3 linked regions of the Solanum lycopersicum genome follow. The protein of the gene in region 1 interacts with the protein of each later gene in a pairwise test. Links are inferred from orthologs where the notes say so. Each region holds a gene or a part of one and is shown in the gene's direction. Other genes may lie near its edges.

Region 1 (4,086 bases):
GGTGATGCTCAAAAAATATACCAAGGGACATCTGCTTTTCGCTTATGTGATACCCCCTTAGAAGATTAGGTGCTCCTTTTCCATCTGAAGTTTCGAGAAGTTTCTTCTCGTATTTTCACTTGTAGTGGAATCAGGGGTGTATCCTAAGAAGGAGGGGTGTCAATTCACGTGTGTTTCAATGTACAACTCCCAATCTTCCAAGGTCCATCTTGTGTTCCAATTTAAAGCATTGTTTTCTTTTTCTTACTTGGTTTTATTCTTTCAAAATTCCCAAGTTTTAACATATTGAAATCTCTATTTTCCTTGTATAGTTGTGAAATTTTATAATTAAGGCAAATGTCTATATTAAATCTAGTCATAGTGGAGGATGTCACATATATTCAATGGGTTTAACTAATCATAGATCTTTGTGAAGAATTACTAAAATTTAAAAACAAATCGAACATTGGTTCAACTTATCCCAAAACCTATCAAATTTAAACCCTGGATTCGCTATTGATCATAGTGGTTGATATCCTAGATTGGCCCCATGAGTAGAATGTATTTATTAGAATTGCTTTTTGCAAGAGTTGTTGTGTGTTGAGGAATGGTTTTCTAATGATTGTAAAAGCAGCTGACATTGGTTCTCTGTTGATTGTGTTTTAGGCGACGAGACGGACCATCCCGTTCCTATTTGTTCGTGGAGATGGTGTGATTCTGGTGTCTCCTCCACTCCGGACTACTTGATGAGGAGAGGCATCGTGGTGTATGAAAATCTGCAAGCACGCTATATTTTGTTTAAGGTGCTGCAGTAGACTATTGTAGGTGGTCTGTGATTTTGTCTAGTACATGTGTTTTGCAAAGCACAAGATTAGTAATGTTGAAATCCTATAGCATTGGATATTTGTGAACCGTGCTGCTTCTGTTTACTTAACTCTAGAATGAGACAAGAAGTGTCTGTTTGGATTGGCTTATGGCTGTCAAAAGCCATAATTTGTGATTTTTAACAAACACCATGAAAGTGCTTTAAAATACAATTTTTTTTATTCAAATATTATGAAAGTGAAAAATATAAGTTAATCCAAGTAGACTGGGTATTCTTATTCGAATTTTATAGGATTATATGCCATATTGTTGTCGTCAAATATTCCCTATTCCACTTATGTTGCCATTTTTCACCCATCGCCAATTCAACTTTTTCTTCTTGAAAAATTATTTGAACATGGAATTTGTATAATTTTCCATTTTAAATTTCTAAAAACTTCAAAACTGTTTTTACACAAAAAAATAGACTTCAATTTGTGTTCATAAATCTTAATTTTCAAGTATCAACTTAGAAATTATTCCAGAGAAAAAAAGTACTCCTTAGTTGCAAGCAATTTATGTGATACATTTTTTATTTCGAGATTCAAACAAATTTAATTTTTTATCATAGACATTATATATATATATATCAATTATTTTGACTTGTAGTGTTTTTTAAATCTAATTTAGAAATACATAATAATATAAAGATTTTATGAGCAAATATTGGGTCAACCCGTCTTGAAAAATAAAATGTAGAAATTGGGATTCGTATATAAAAATTGTAAAAACCTAGGAAGAGAAGAATTGTATTTGGGGCATTTTGGCAGCAAATAACAAAGAAAAAAAAGAGTATTCTCGAAAGATGAAGATGAAGGAGCAAGTAGAATCTTCACTAAGGGCAAAGCTTAACCCTTCTCATCTGGTAAATTCTCTCAAATATACACATATCTGTTGTTAACTTGATGAGTTTGTGTTCGTTTAATTTGTTCATAGCAAATCTAAACCAAATAGGTTTATCAGGATTTTAGATTTTGTTAAACCTTGTCAGTTGCAATTGTTAAAATTAACTGACAAAGGAAAATAAGTGATAAACATTGGGAAATCTCCCAAATGCTGAAATTTTGGTTGTTATGAATTAATAGGTCAAAAAACACATCTTTAAGTTTTACATTTTAATTTATTAAAAGCAAAATTCTAACTTCAAATCTGCCTTGATTGGATTGTTTCACTATGAAGATGATATTAGTTGGATTTGGCACTATGTAAAACAACTCTGAGTTAGCTACTCCTTAAGAACGAAGGCTGAAAATTTAAAGAAGTCAAGTAGGTGTCACCTACGTAAAAATGAAGGGCCAAAGATAAAAAAGTAGGTCCATCACCTACTTAAAGGCTTATGGCCCAAAGATACGGACCAAAAGGGGGCTGTCTTGGGTCCGCCCAAGGCCCATCTTTCAAGTCCATTAAGGACTATATAGATGTATAAATAACTCCATGGATTTATTTGCTTGAGCTATGTGCTTCACCGACTTGCTTTGACATCCTAGTTGGTTGATCTAGTTGGTTAGATGTCCTAGTTGCTTAATAAGAGCAACCCACGTGTTTAAGGAAAATTAATGACCTACTAGTCTAAGTATGTGACTAGTAGGTGTATCACCTCTTTAGAACAAAGGGCCAAAATTTAAAGAAGTCAAGTAGATGCATCACCTGCTTAACTCCCTGGTTTATTGGCTTAAGTAGGTGATGCAACTACTTGTCTTATTTACATCTGGAACTTCGTTCTTAAGTAGGCACCTACTAGTTACTTGCTTAGACTAGTAGTTTATTAAATTTCCTTAAGCATGTGAGTCGCCCTTGATTCAAGTAGCTCAAGTTACTAGGATGTCAAATAAGCAACTCAACCAAGTAGGACTTCCAACAAGTAGGTCGTCTAAGCAAATAGCTCACAAGTGGGCCATTTGCGCAAGAAGGTGAAAATGGTACATTCCATGGTACATGTGTTTGAAGTGAGGGAAAGGCGAGTGAGCTATAGTTCTTTTTTTTTCCAGTTTCTCTTTGTATGAGAGAATTTCCTGATGGGAAAAAAAGTGCAAATATACCCAATACGTGTATTTGTGTTATATCCTTCCTCTGTTCACCTTTCGGGTCAAAGGATCCCCCACAATTATCTTTCGTATGAAATGTGCCCCTCCACCTTGAAGAGTTGGTCAGCCACGTAGGGTATATTTGACCTTTTCAGTTGTTTAGGCTTTATAGACTTCTTCAATTGTAAGGGTATATTGGTCTACCTGGCTCTATCGTGAAAAAGATAGAGCCGTGCTGGACAGTCGTAAGAGGGAGGGAAAAATATGGGACGGAATTAGTGATTTGGGGCTTTCATGGACCGGAAAGGGAAGTAAACGCAGGCAAATGTTAGACAAACCTAATAGTCAGTGATAAAGTTGAACCTTTCCTTGATTTTGATCACTAGCCTTAAATTGCCAGTCTTGGAAATGAACAGTGTTAGAACATTTAACATCTAATGATTTTCTAAAAAAGAAGCTAAACTTGTTGAAGTGTTTTTTACAAAGGTGCTTTAATAAGTCCTTATCTCAAGAGCATATACCATCATAGCAAGATTTCAGGTACATCAATGGTTGGGGAAGGAACTTAGGTGATGTTTGGTTGGGAGTAGTGGAGAAAGTGATCTCCACTTATACTTAGTGTTAGTATAATGTTTGGTTTCATTCTTCCTTTCCACATAAAATTTAGGATATTTATAATACAATTTTTGTTTCCACTTCTCTTGTCGCATAACTGATATCCTCTTTAAGTTATGCGGGTATCGATATATTATTTTATGCAAGATAAGAATGCGGGGATAGTATAATATGGAGTAAAATTACGAGATGACAAAAATAACCCTTCACGTGTTATCCAATATTTATTTTGTCAAAAGAATTTAAAAAATATTTTTTAATATGCACTTTAGTATAACAAATCTAACATCCATTGAGTAAATAATCCTTCCACTACAGTTCTTGTATTATAACCTTAACCTTGCATTTCAATCCCTACATTACAATCTCTACATTGCCATCCATGCATTTCTAATTCCCCTGTAACTTGCTTCTAATCCAAACGACCCATTAAAGCATTGTGGTACCTGAGATAGTTGCTCTTTACCCGGAATACATATATGAGCTACCTATTATTTATGTCAATAAGAGATGCTATACTAAGATTTCAGGTACATTAAGGGATAGGTGGAAGAACCTCAAAGCATTGAGGGACCTTAGAGTTTTTCTTTTCCTGGAATACATA
Region 2 (4,319 bases), on another chromosome or scaffold:
TAGTGCTAGATCCGAAAGCAGGTGAGCTAGTAGATAAGCTCCATCAGATAATCACGGGGAAAGACCAGGAACGTGGAGGAGACACAACAGGTCATCAAGGTACATGCCAAGATCCTTCGGGCATTAAACCATTGAATTAATGCTTGGTTCCTTTCAGGTTGAAGTTCTTTGGTTTTCAGGTATCTTGTCATCACTGAATGGAGGAATTTTATGTCAGAATTCCTGTTATTTGTACTCTCAAATGAACCATCGCTGTTGTCGTTCTTTTCCATTCCTACTTCGATACTTCAAGAACAAGTGTTTCCCCCCTCATGAAATTATAGTTCCTTGTTTACTATCTCTGAACATATGAAACATAAAAGCTTGTTAAGATCATAAGGGAATTTTTTAAAGGATGTTAAGCTTAACCTCATGCCTCCCTATAGTACGTCTGTTTTTCAATGTTTGTATCGTAATTTTCCAGCTATGGCATATGTTTATGATTAGGCAAATTTACAGTTTGCGACGTAGAAAAATTCTCTTATGGTCGATTCTGCTACGTTAATAAGGAATTAATGTTTTCCATATCTAAACCAGTTGGAAAAACTAGTTAGTGATCGATTAGACAAATTAAACGAGATTTAGTTGCGTTAGGGTGAAAGTTAATGTAGATTTATTATGGAGTTGCGAAATAGTATATAAATTTACTGCACCAATGAAGAAACTGGTAAAATCATGTAGAAATGACAACAAATTTAATATGATTGTTTTGTTTTATCTGTTTTTTTGTTTTTTTTTTTAAAAAAAGAAGATCGATTAGAAATGTTTCATTACTTGGTTGTATGTGTGAAAACAGAGTCGCCCATTAACTATTTTGGAAATTAGATTTTGAAAAGGCATTTGGAACCTTTGTTTGAAAATAAAGATAAAAAAATCTACTGAGGAAGGGAAGGTATTAAACCACCTGAGGAAATTTGCAAACGCAATTAACCTGTAAATTTAAATATTTTATCGCCAAAACAAATACTATAACTTTTTTGAATGTGGAAATTTGAAGGGTGACTAAGGAATTCATTTTCTTGGTAATTAATTGTTTCATTAACTCAACCTGTGAATTAAGTTAACTAGTTTTGTGAAGGACCAATTACTTTATCTAGTTACTTGTGGTATCCTTTCAAACTTTGAACACACATTCTTTACCACATAACATCCAAGAAGATCGAAATTATCAATTTATCTAGTTAAAAAAGGTATGTTCTCCGTTTGAAAAAGGATAACCTAGTTTGACTTGGAACGAAGTTTATCAAAAGAAAAAATATTTTTTAATATTATGGTTCTAAATTAAAGTTATGTTAAACGTACCAAAATACCCTTTAATTTTATATTTTTAAACATGCCACGTGAAAAGTTAAAGGATTACTAAAAAAAGAAAGAATTTTAAAACGGACTAAAAAGGAAATAGATTTTTTTTTTTTTATACAAAGAAAGTAATTAAATAAACACAAAATTTAGATTTAAGTTTTAAGGCCTAGGGGGCAAAAACGGCAATATACGTTTTTATGTTCCTCCTCCATTCTCTCATCACCCTTTCGGCTATAAATACCTAAATGAAAACCTGAAATAGGGGTTTTAGAAGTCGAAAATATTAAAGCACAGGAAGGAATTGGTCTGGTCTTCTCTTCTCTGAGTGGTAATTTTTCGATTTTCCATCTATTTATTCTTTAATTGTGTCATTATTCGCTTGGCAAGCCAGCAGATTTCTGTAGGAACCATTTTTTTGGTGATTCAGTAGTAATTGCTTTCATGTCATTTTCTAATTTTTGCGTGCTCTCTCCGATTGTTTTTGAACAGTGACTTGGGGTTTATTGGATGAAAATAGATTAAAAAAACAATCTTTTTATCGTTTACTGAAATGGGTGTCTGAAAATTTTCAGTTTTATGCGTTTAGGTGTTCGATGAATTGATTCAATGAGTTAGGTGTTAATATAATGTTGTATCTCAAAACAAATTTGAAATTAGAACATTTGTCTAGATTAAAGAATCTCTGATCAGAATTCAGATATTACATTGAGCTTTTTGTTGTGGTTTGATATGATTATTGGGTCATAGAGATGGGATGTCTGTGATAATACCATCAAGTAACAACACCATGCCCCTTGTGATCCTACAAGTGGGTCTGGGATGGTGGGGTGCACACAGACCTCACCCCTATGGCATAATATCGAAGGAAAGACAACTATCTACATAAAAATAGTAAAGATAACCTAGATAAAAGAAACAACATTAGTGATAAATTTGTAGCTATTTATTATGGCAAAAGTGCCTCAGTCCTGTACTAGTTGCTGTCAGTTATATGAATCGATTATCTCCATTCCAATCCATTTAAATAGTAGTCTATGCCTGAACATAAATTTGATGGTTTAGCTTCATTGGTCCCAAAAGAGGGTTGTATGCTTTGTAGCTAAGGGTTTTTACTATATTTTTGAGGTTGTGAAGCACTAAGAACTGATTTGTAATTTTTTCTTATTTAATCATCCCTGCAGCTGAAAGAAGTTTGAACAAATTGTCTCTTTTATTATGGCGAGATCATTATCTCAAATGATGTTGAAGCGTTTTGCAGCCTACCCTCTTGCACGTTCATCTGCAATTGTAAGAATAAACATTACTGTCACCCTGTTTGTGCTTACTATTAACAACACATCAACTAATGCTTTCCACTTCTTTGTCTGACTTATCTGGTAGCTTGCAAAGTAAAGAAATTAAGCTTTACTATGAAGAGCTCCCCTTTCTTTCTTCTGTTTTCACTTTGTGCACCCCATCGCTCTGTTCTGGACACTCTAGTTTATCTCTCGCTAGCTAAATACAATTGGAGTATATGCTGTATCTGTAAGTCATATAATAAACTAAGAACATTTGCTTGAATCTACCTTCATCAAACATTTGCTTGAATCTATATTCCCCAAAAAAGACCATTTGCTCAAATCTTTCTACCATATGTTTCCATCCAGTGTCTTCTAATGTGTTTAGCCCATAGACAGGATTAGACAAAATCGTTTTTTTTCTTTTATTTGTTCAAAATTTATGCTTAACAGTTGCTTGATTTGTATAATAGACATCCAGATCCATCCACCAGGGTGAAGTGCGGTATTCAACTTCTGTGCCTAGTGATCCGGACACACATGAAGATTTTAGGCCTACTAGTAAGCTTGAGAGTTCAGGTCTTTCTCTGGAGAATATTGTTGAGCAGGTAGCTTTAGTCAATGTGTACATTTTCTGCTTGTTGGCAAGTCAGAGCTCTTTTGTTTTCAATCTTTGAATATAGAGATTGTGTTACCCTTTTTCGTTTATTTGCTGTACTGTTAAGTGTTCAGGTTTAGTTATTCTGTCGGCCTTCTGTTGTAGGATGTCAAGGATAATCCTGTGATGATATACATGAAAGGTGTGCCAGACCTGCCTCGTTGTGGATTCAGCTCATTGGCTGTTAGAGTTCTCAAAGAATACAGTAAGTCCATGTGCTATAAGTGATATCTCTTGTTGTTGGATTTTGCATCCTCTTTACTTGCAAGTGTAGATTTCTGATAGAGGTCCATGGGCCCTTAATTGGTCTTCATCTTCTTACGATTTACGAATATATATTGTCTTTGCAGATGCTCCAATAAGTGCCAGAAATATCTTAGAAGATCCTGAGCTTAAGAATGCTGTAAAAGCTTTCAGGTAAGTTTGATGCCAAATGGTCTATGGTTATGAAAATTATTTATTGACGAATTTATTTGCATTTTTAGAAGGGATTGATACACAATTCTAGATGTTAAGTGGCCATCTTTCGCCCTCTGCTGTGATCTGAGCAATATGCTTTTGTGACATTAAACACATCCTTTAGAGAAAGTAGGGTCATTTGGGTAGACATATTGCTGATGGGATATTGGCTGCCATTTAAATATCATAGTAAACTCTGGAAATGATTAATGGTTTGTTCATAAGGTCAGATGATATTTGACTGTCGAGGCAGCTCATACTTTTTTTTTTTAAATATCTGTGGTTTAAATTGGTTCTTTTCATTCTTATAGTATGGTATTGTTTTTTTTTAATTTATGAAGTATGGTATGACATTGATTCACCTGGATGATGCCAGCATTTTACATTCATGGTGATGACCCTGTGGCTATGTAGTTATTTGAGTTATATGTAGGTTGTATGTCTACATTTTTGTAGCTATAAAAAATGGCGACCCTTTATTTTTATATACTATATAGTGATTGTATTTTAAAGAGCATCAAGTGAATGCTATAGAACTTCACGAGTAGTTTATCTCTAAAGAGCTCAAAAGATCAATTCAGTTC
Region 3 (4,313 bases), on another chromosome or scaffold:
AAGAATCTCTAATAAATGAACTACTGACGAAATAATAAATCATTGATTCTTTAATCAAAAAGTAAAATAAAGAAGTAAATAAGAATATATATTCAAAGAAATTTCGTAATAAAAAGAAACGTTTAAGTTGCATAAATTATACAAATGTGAGATATGCATTAGGAGAAAATTAAAAAAATTGTTAACATCTTCAAAAAAGAAATTACTCTTGAACATGAAAGCAATTATAACTTTTGAATATGCATAATGAATTTCTTCAACTGATAAGCGAAAAATTTCCTATCTATGTAAAAATAAATAATATGTAATCTTATATAGTACATGTAAGTCATTGAATTTAATATAGAATATCAAAACATGAATTTTTGGAACTGAGTATAATTATTATGCATAATGAATATCCGTAATATATGTGTGTATGTTCAATATAATCGGAGATAATTAATTTGCAGAAATATAAACAACAGAGTTTAAAACATGTACTCAAAAATAATAATTTATATCATAAGCATAATGAATGTAAAAAAACATACCAGGATATGTAAAAACAAAATGGAAATAGAAAGGAAAAAATCGAATCCGGTGAATGCACAATGTTCCCTTAAGAAAACTATTCCCCTCCAATCCCAGAGGCTTACAAAATTACATCCACTTAGGATGGAACGGTCTTATTCATCAACTTATTGATACAAAAGCAGTGTGTGTTAGTAAGTCACTCCACAGGAGCAAAGTTTACAAATATTAAAATTTGAGGAATTAGAAGAAAAAGAAGAAGATCAGAACTTTTGTTGTTTTTAAATCAGAGAGAATCTCATTATTTATAGACAACAAAGGATAGTGTGGACAAATCTTTATTGTGTTTTATCAAAAAGGTCATAATTATTAAAAAAAGTTACAATTCTTCGAAAAGTTCACAACCTTTAGTAAAAGTCACAATTCTTCATTAAAGTCCCAACTTTTCATAAAAATCGCAACTCTTAATTAAAGTCGCAGCTTATCATAAAAGTTACTTTTGATAAAAATCGCAACTCTTTATTAATGTCGTCATAAAAGATAAAAGTCACAACTCTTATTTACGTCGCAACTTTTCATGAAAAATGAAGACTAATTTTGAAAATAAATAAATTTCACCGTGACGCTACGTAGACGGGCCTAGAATTCTCTTTTATATAAATATATGATATGATTAATTAATAATTTAAAATTATGATACGAAATTAAAATTTCAAATATGTTGATTTAAAATTACAATTTTGTTAGACATTTAACTTTTAAATTATATTTTCCCTCATAAATATATAAGTCCTATAATTTGTGAAATTAGCAAAATTTTATCAATTTTTATACAATTTTACCAAATAAGTAAACTCATATTTAATAAATAAATACTTGCATTTACTTGTTATGACTACAAACTTATGTTTTACATATATTTTTACAAAAATCAACTAATTGACGATAATACTAACTAAACTAGGAGCAATCTCTTCGTATTGAACATTAATCGATTCTATAAAATTTAAAATAATAATTTTTATTATTATGTATTAAACTTATAATTCAACTTTATTATTTAAAAAAAAAAAAGGACTAAATCACAATTTAAAATTTGAAGAATTTAAGATTTTTTTAAAATATATATATATGAAAGAAAAGGGAAAAAGAAGTAGGCTTTTATATAAAACAGCATAAAAGAGGAGAAATTTCGTATTGTTCTTTGAGGGTATTTACTTCACTTCTCATTGAGAAATAGAGAATCTGAAAGAATCGAGAATGGGCGGAGGAGGATCAGTGAAGGAAGTTCAATCGAAGGCGGAGCTTGATAAGATTGTCGCCGACGGATCACCGGCGATTTTGCACTTTTGGGCATCATGGTGTGAAGCTTCTAAGCACATGGACCAAGTCTTTTCGCATCTTTCTACTGATTTCCCACATGCCCATTTTCTAAGAGTAAGCAAAATCTTCTCACTTTGTGCATATATGGAAGAGAAGCCCAAAAAGATTGTATCTTTTTTAATTTATCGATCGATTTCTGGTTTTATTTTTGGTTATATGACTGGCGCTGTTATATTTCTTACTGAGAAAGGTAAAATAAGATAGGTTATGGAATTTTGAATGATCTTGAAATATATTGATGCGTTATTGATTGATTTTCTGCTTGATATGTTCTTGTTGGGGGTTGTTTAGTTTTTGTTCCCCTTTAACTAAGGTGTGAAGGGTTAAGAGTTTTTGTACACTTCTTTTGTGAAACTTTATTGGAGATGGACCAAGTTTATATCTTTTTAATTTATTGGTTGAGTTCTGGTATTTTATTGAATGGTTTTTGATGTGGCTTATGGAATTTTGAATGAATTGTTGGATTGCTATTTTCTGTTTGATATGCTCTTTTGTTTGGAGGGGGTTCTCTGGGTTTGTTTTTTATTGCTGTGCTTTGAGGGTTTAGGGTTTTGTTGTTCATTATTCAGTTTTCACATGTAATAAAACTCAGAAAGTATATATATTTTAATTCTTTATATCGATATCAATACAGTCCAGTGGTTTAGGCATAGGAGTGACAACTTGGAGATTATTGGTTTGAATTTGGGTTATAACACCAGGGTGTTTAGCCTTGGTGAGCAGGTTTACCATTGGTAGATTAGTCAAATGTGTGCAAGCCAGTACCTGGTACCACCTTCATTAGTAAAAATGGCAGTTCATAAGATTTTGGACGAACTACAAAGCTTTGTGATGTGCTATTGAAAGATATGCTTTAAAGGGTTTTGGACATATTGTTTCTGTTTGGAGTGTTTTTTTTTAATGTTTGTTTTGGGAAGATATGCTTTAAATGGTTTATGGTTCTGTAGTGAATGTAGATCATTCTTGTAGTGACAATGAGATTTCTCCTTTTGCACAGTAAGTCTTGGTTTGTAGTAAACAATTGTTTTGATAAGATATATAATTTTATTAATTCGGGAAAGCACTTGTGTACGAGCAGTATGCCAAGATATAGATAATCTATACCAAAATATGGTTCTCCATTAATGACACTCAATCTTCTATACAATAGGCTAACTTTGGTGAAATTTTAGGGTGCTACTGTTAAGAGTTTTTTGGTCAAACTTGGTACTAATAGAAATAAGCTTTGCTCTATTAGGCAACTATTATTACCTCTTATAAGCTCATTGTCACATTCTTTGGTAGATGTTGAAGAAATAAAAGCAGTTTGAGGAAATGAACATGCATTATTTACTCAAATAAACACAAAAAGTTAGGGAAAAACAAGTACTTCTTTGTTCCAATTTATGTGGTACCATTTGACTTGCACAAAGTTTAAAGTAAGAAAGGAAGACTTTTAACATTGTGGTTTAAAACAGACCTTAGTCTTTTGTGCGGCTATAAATCAATTCATTTTAAGGGTAAAAGAGGAAATTTTGAAGTGAATTTTTCCTGATTATAGAAAGGTGACATTCTTTTTGGGACAGACTGGAATAGAAAGCGTGTCACATAAATTGGGATAGAAGAATAACTATGAATTTATTTCCCTGAATGGATGCACTGAGTATATGAGTTCTTGTGGTTACCCAGCTATGTTATATAAATATGAGGACTTTGTAGTACCAAGTTTTTTTGGGGAGGGTGGAGATAGTTATTGCTCTGTTGATTTTCTTCAGTCTTAACTCTTACCTCAATTTGGTAGTTCAATTTTTTAAGCAAGTTGAGAAAATGAACGCCCGTGATAACTCAAATAGACACAGAAAAGATAAGGAAAAAGCTTTTAACTAAGAACTTGTCTCCCTGAAGGGGCACACACAGACAGATATGTTCTTGTGGTTGCCTAGCTATATTGTTCCTCTCTTGATTTTCTGCGGTCTTACATTGATTTGTCTGCTTGAATAGAATCTACAAATTTTACTTCCTGCAAGCAGAGAAGTGGAGAACACAGGACACTCGAATAGTTGCTTGTTCTAGTATAGTGAATTGGGAATGAACTTTTCTTCTATAGTGGTTGATGCCACTGTAAACTGAATTCCTTAATGAATTATGTCTAGGTGCTACTGGAATTTGCTCATTAGTCATTCACTCATTCTGATGTTTCAGCTCATCTCTGATGGTGATTATTTTGCTTCTGTCTTTGTATTTCAGGTTGAAGCTGAAGAACAGCCTGAGATATCTGAGCTGCACTCTGTTTCTGCTGTACCTTACTTTGTCTTCTTCAAGGTATCTAACCTGGGAATTTGCTTTCCTTGTCTATGACTGTTTCTGTTTGTAAACCTTTATTTGCTTCTGAATAGATGGGGAATGAGTTTCTCACCCTCTTCTTGTGCGACTTCTAC

What was found.
Region 2: the proteins of protein BOLA2 (region 1) and monothiol glutaredoxin-S15, mitochondrial interact in a two-hybrid assay, tested with the Arabidopsis thaliana proteins (2 studies listed by BioGRID). The link is inferred for Solanum lycopersicum from reciprocal best matches to the Arabidopsis thaliana genes AT5G09830 and GRX4.
Region 3: the proteins of protein BOLA2 (region 1) and monothiol glutaredoxin-S17 interact in a two-hybrid assay, tested with the Arabidopsis thaliana proteins (2 studies listed by BioGRID). The link is inferred for Solanum lycopersicum from reciprocal best matches to the Arabidopsis thaliana genes AT5G09830 and GRXS17.

What each region holds. Positions count from the first base shown.
Region 1 is NC_090810.1:868,491-872,576, reverse strand, and holds the start of protein BOLA2, read left to right. Parts: upstream 1-1,249; 5' UTR 1,250-1,648; coding exon 1,649-1,708; intron 1,709-4,086. Other genes in the region: sm-like protein LSM3A, read left to right, coding at 646-726. UniProt on the Arabidopsis thaliana protein: May act either alone or in interaction with glutaredoxin as a redox-regulated transcriptional regulator, or as a factor regulating Fe-S cluster biogenesis. The GRXS17-BOLA2 heterodimer binds a labile, oxygen sensitive iron-sulfur cluster.
Region 2 is NC_090805.1:44,575,552-44,579,870, reverse strand, and holds the start of monothiol glutaredoxin-S15, mitochondrial, read left to right. Parts: upstream 1-1,463; 5' UTR 1,464-1,669; intron 1,670-2,522; 5' UTR 2,523-2,556; coding exon 2,557-2,628; intron 2,629-3,091; coding exon 3,092-3,226; intron 3,227-3,381; coding exon 3,382-3,481; intron 3,482-3,626; coding exon 3,627-3,693; intron 3,694-4,319.
Region 3 is NC_090801.1:59,271,692-59,276,004, reverse strand, and holds the start of monothiol glutaredoxin-S17, read left to right. Parts: upstream 1-1,457; 5' UTR 1,458-1,773; coding exon 1,774-1,950; intron 1,951-4,122; coding exon 4,123-4,197; intron 4,198-4,313. UniProt on the Arabidopsis thaliana protein: May only reduce GSH-thiol disulfides, but not protein disulfides. Participates probably to the maturation of iron-sulfur proteins and to the regulation of the redox state of the BOLA proteins.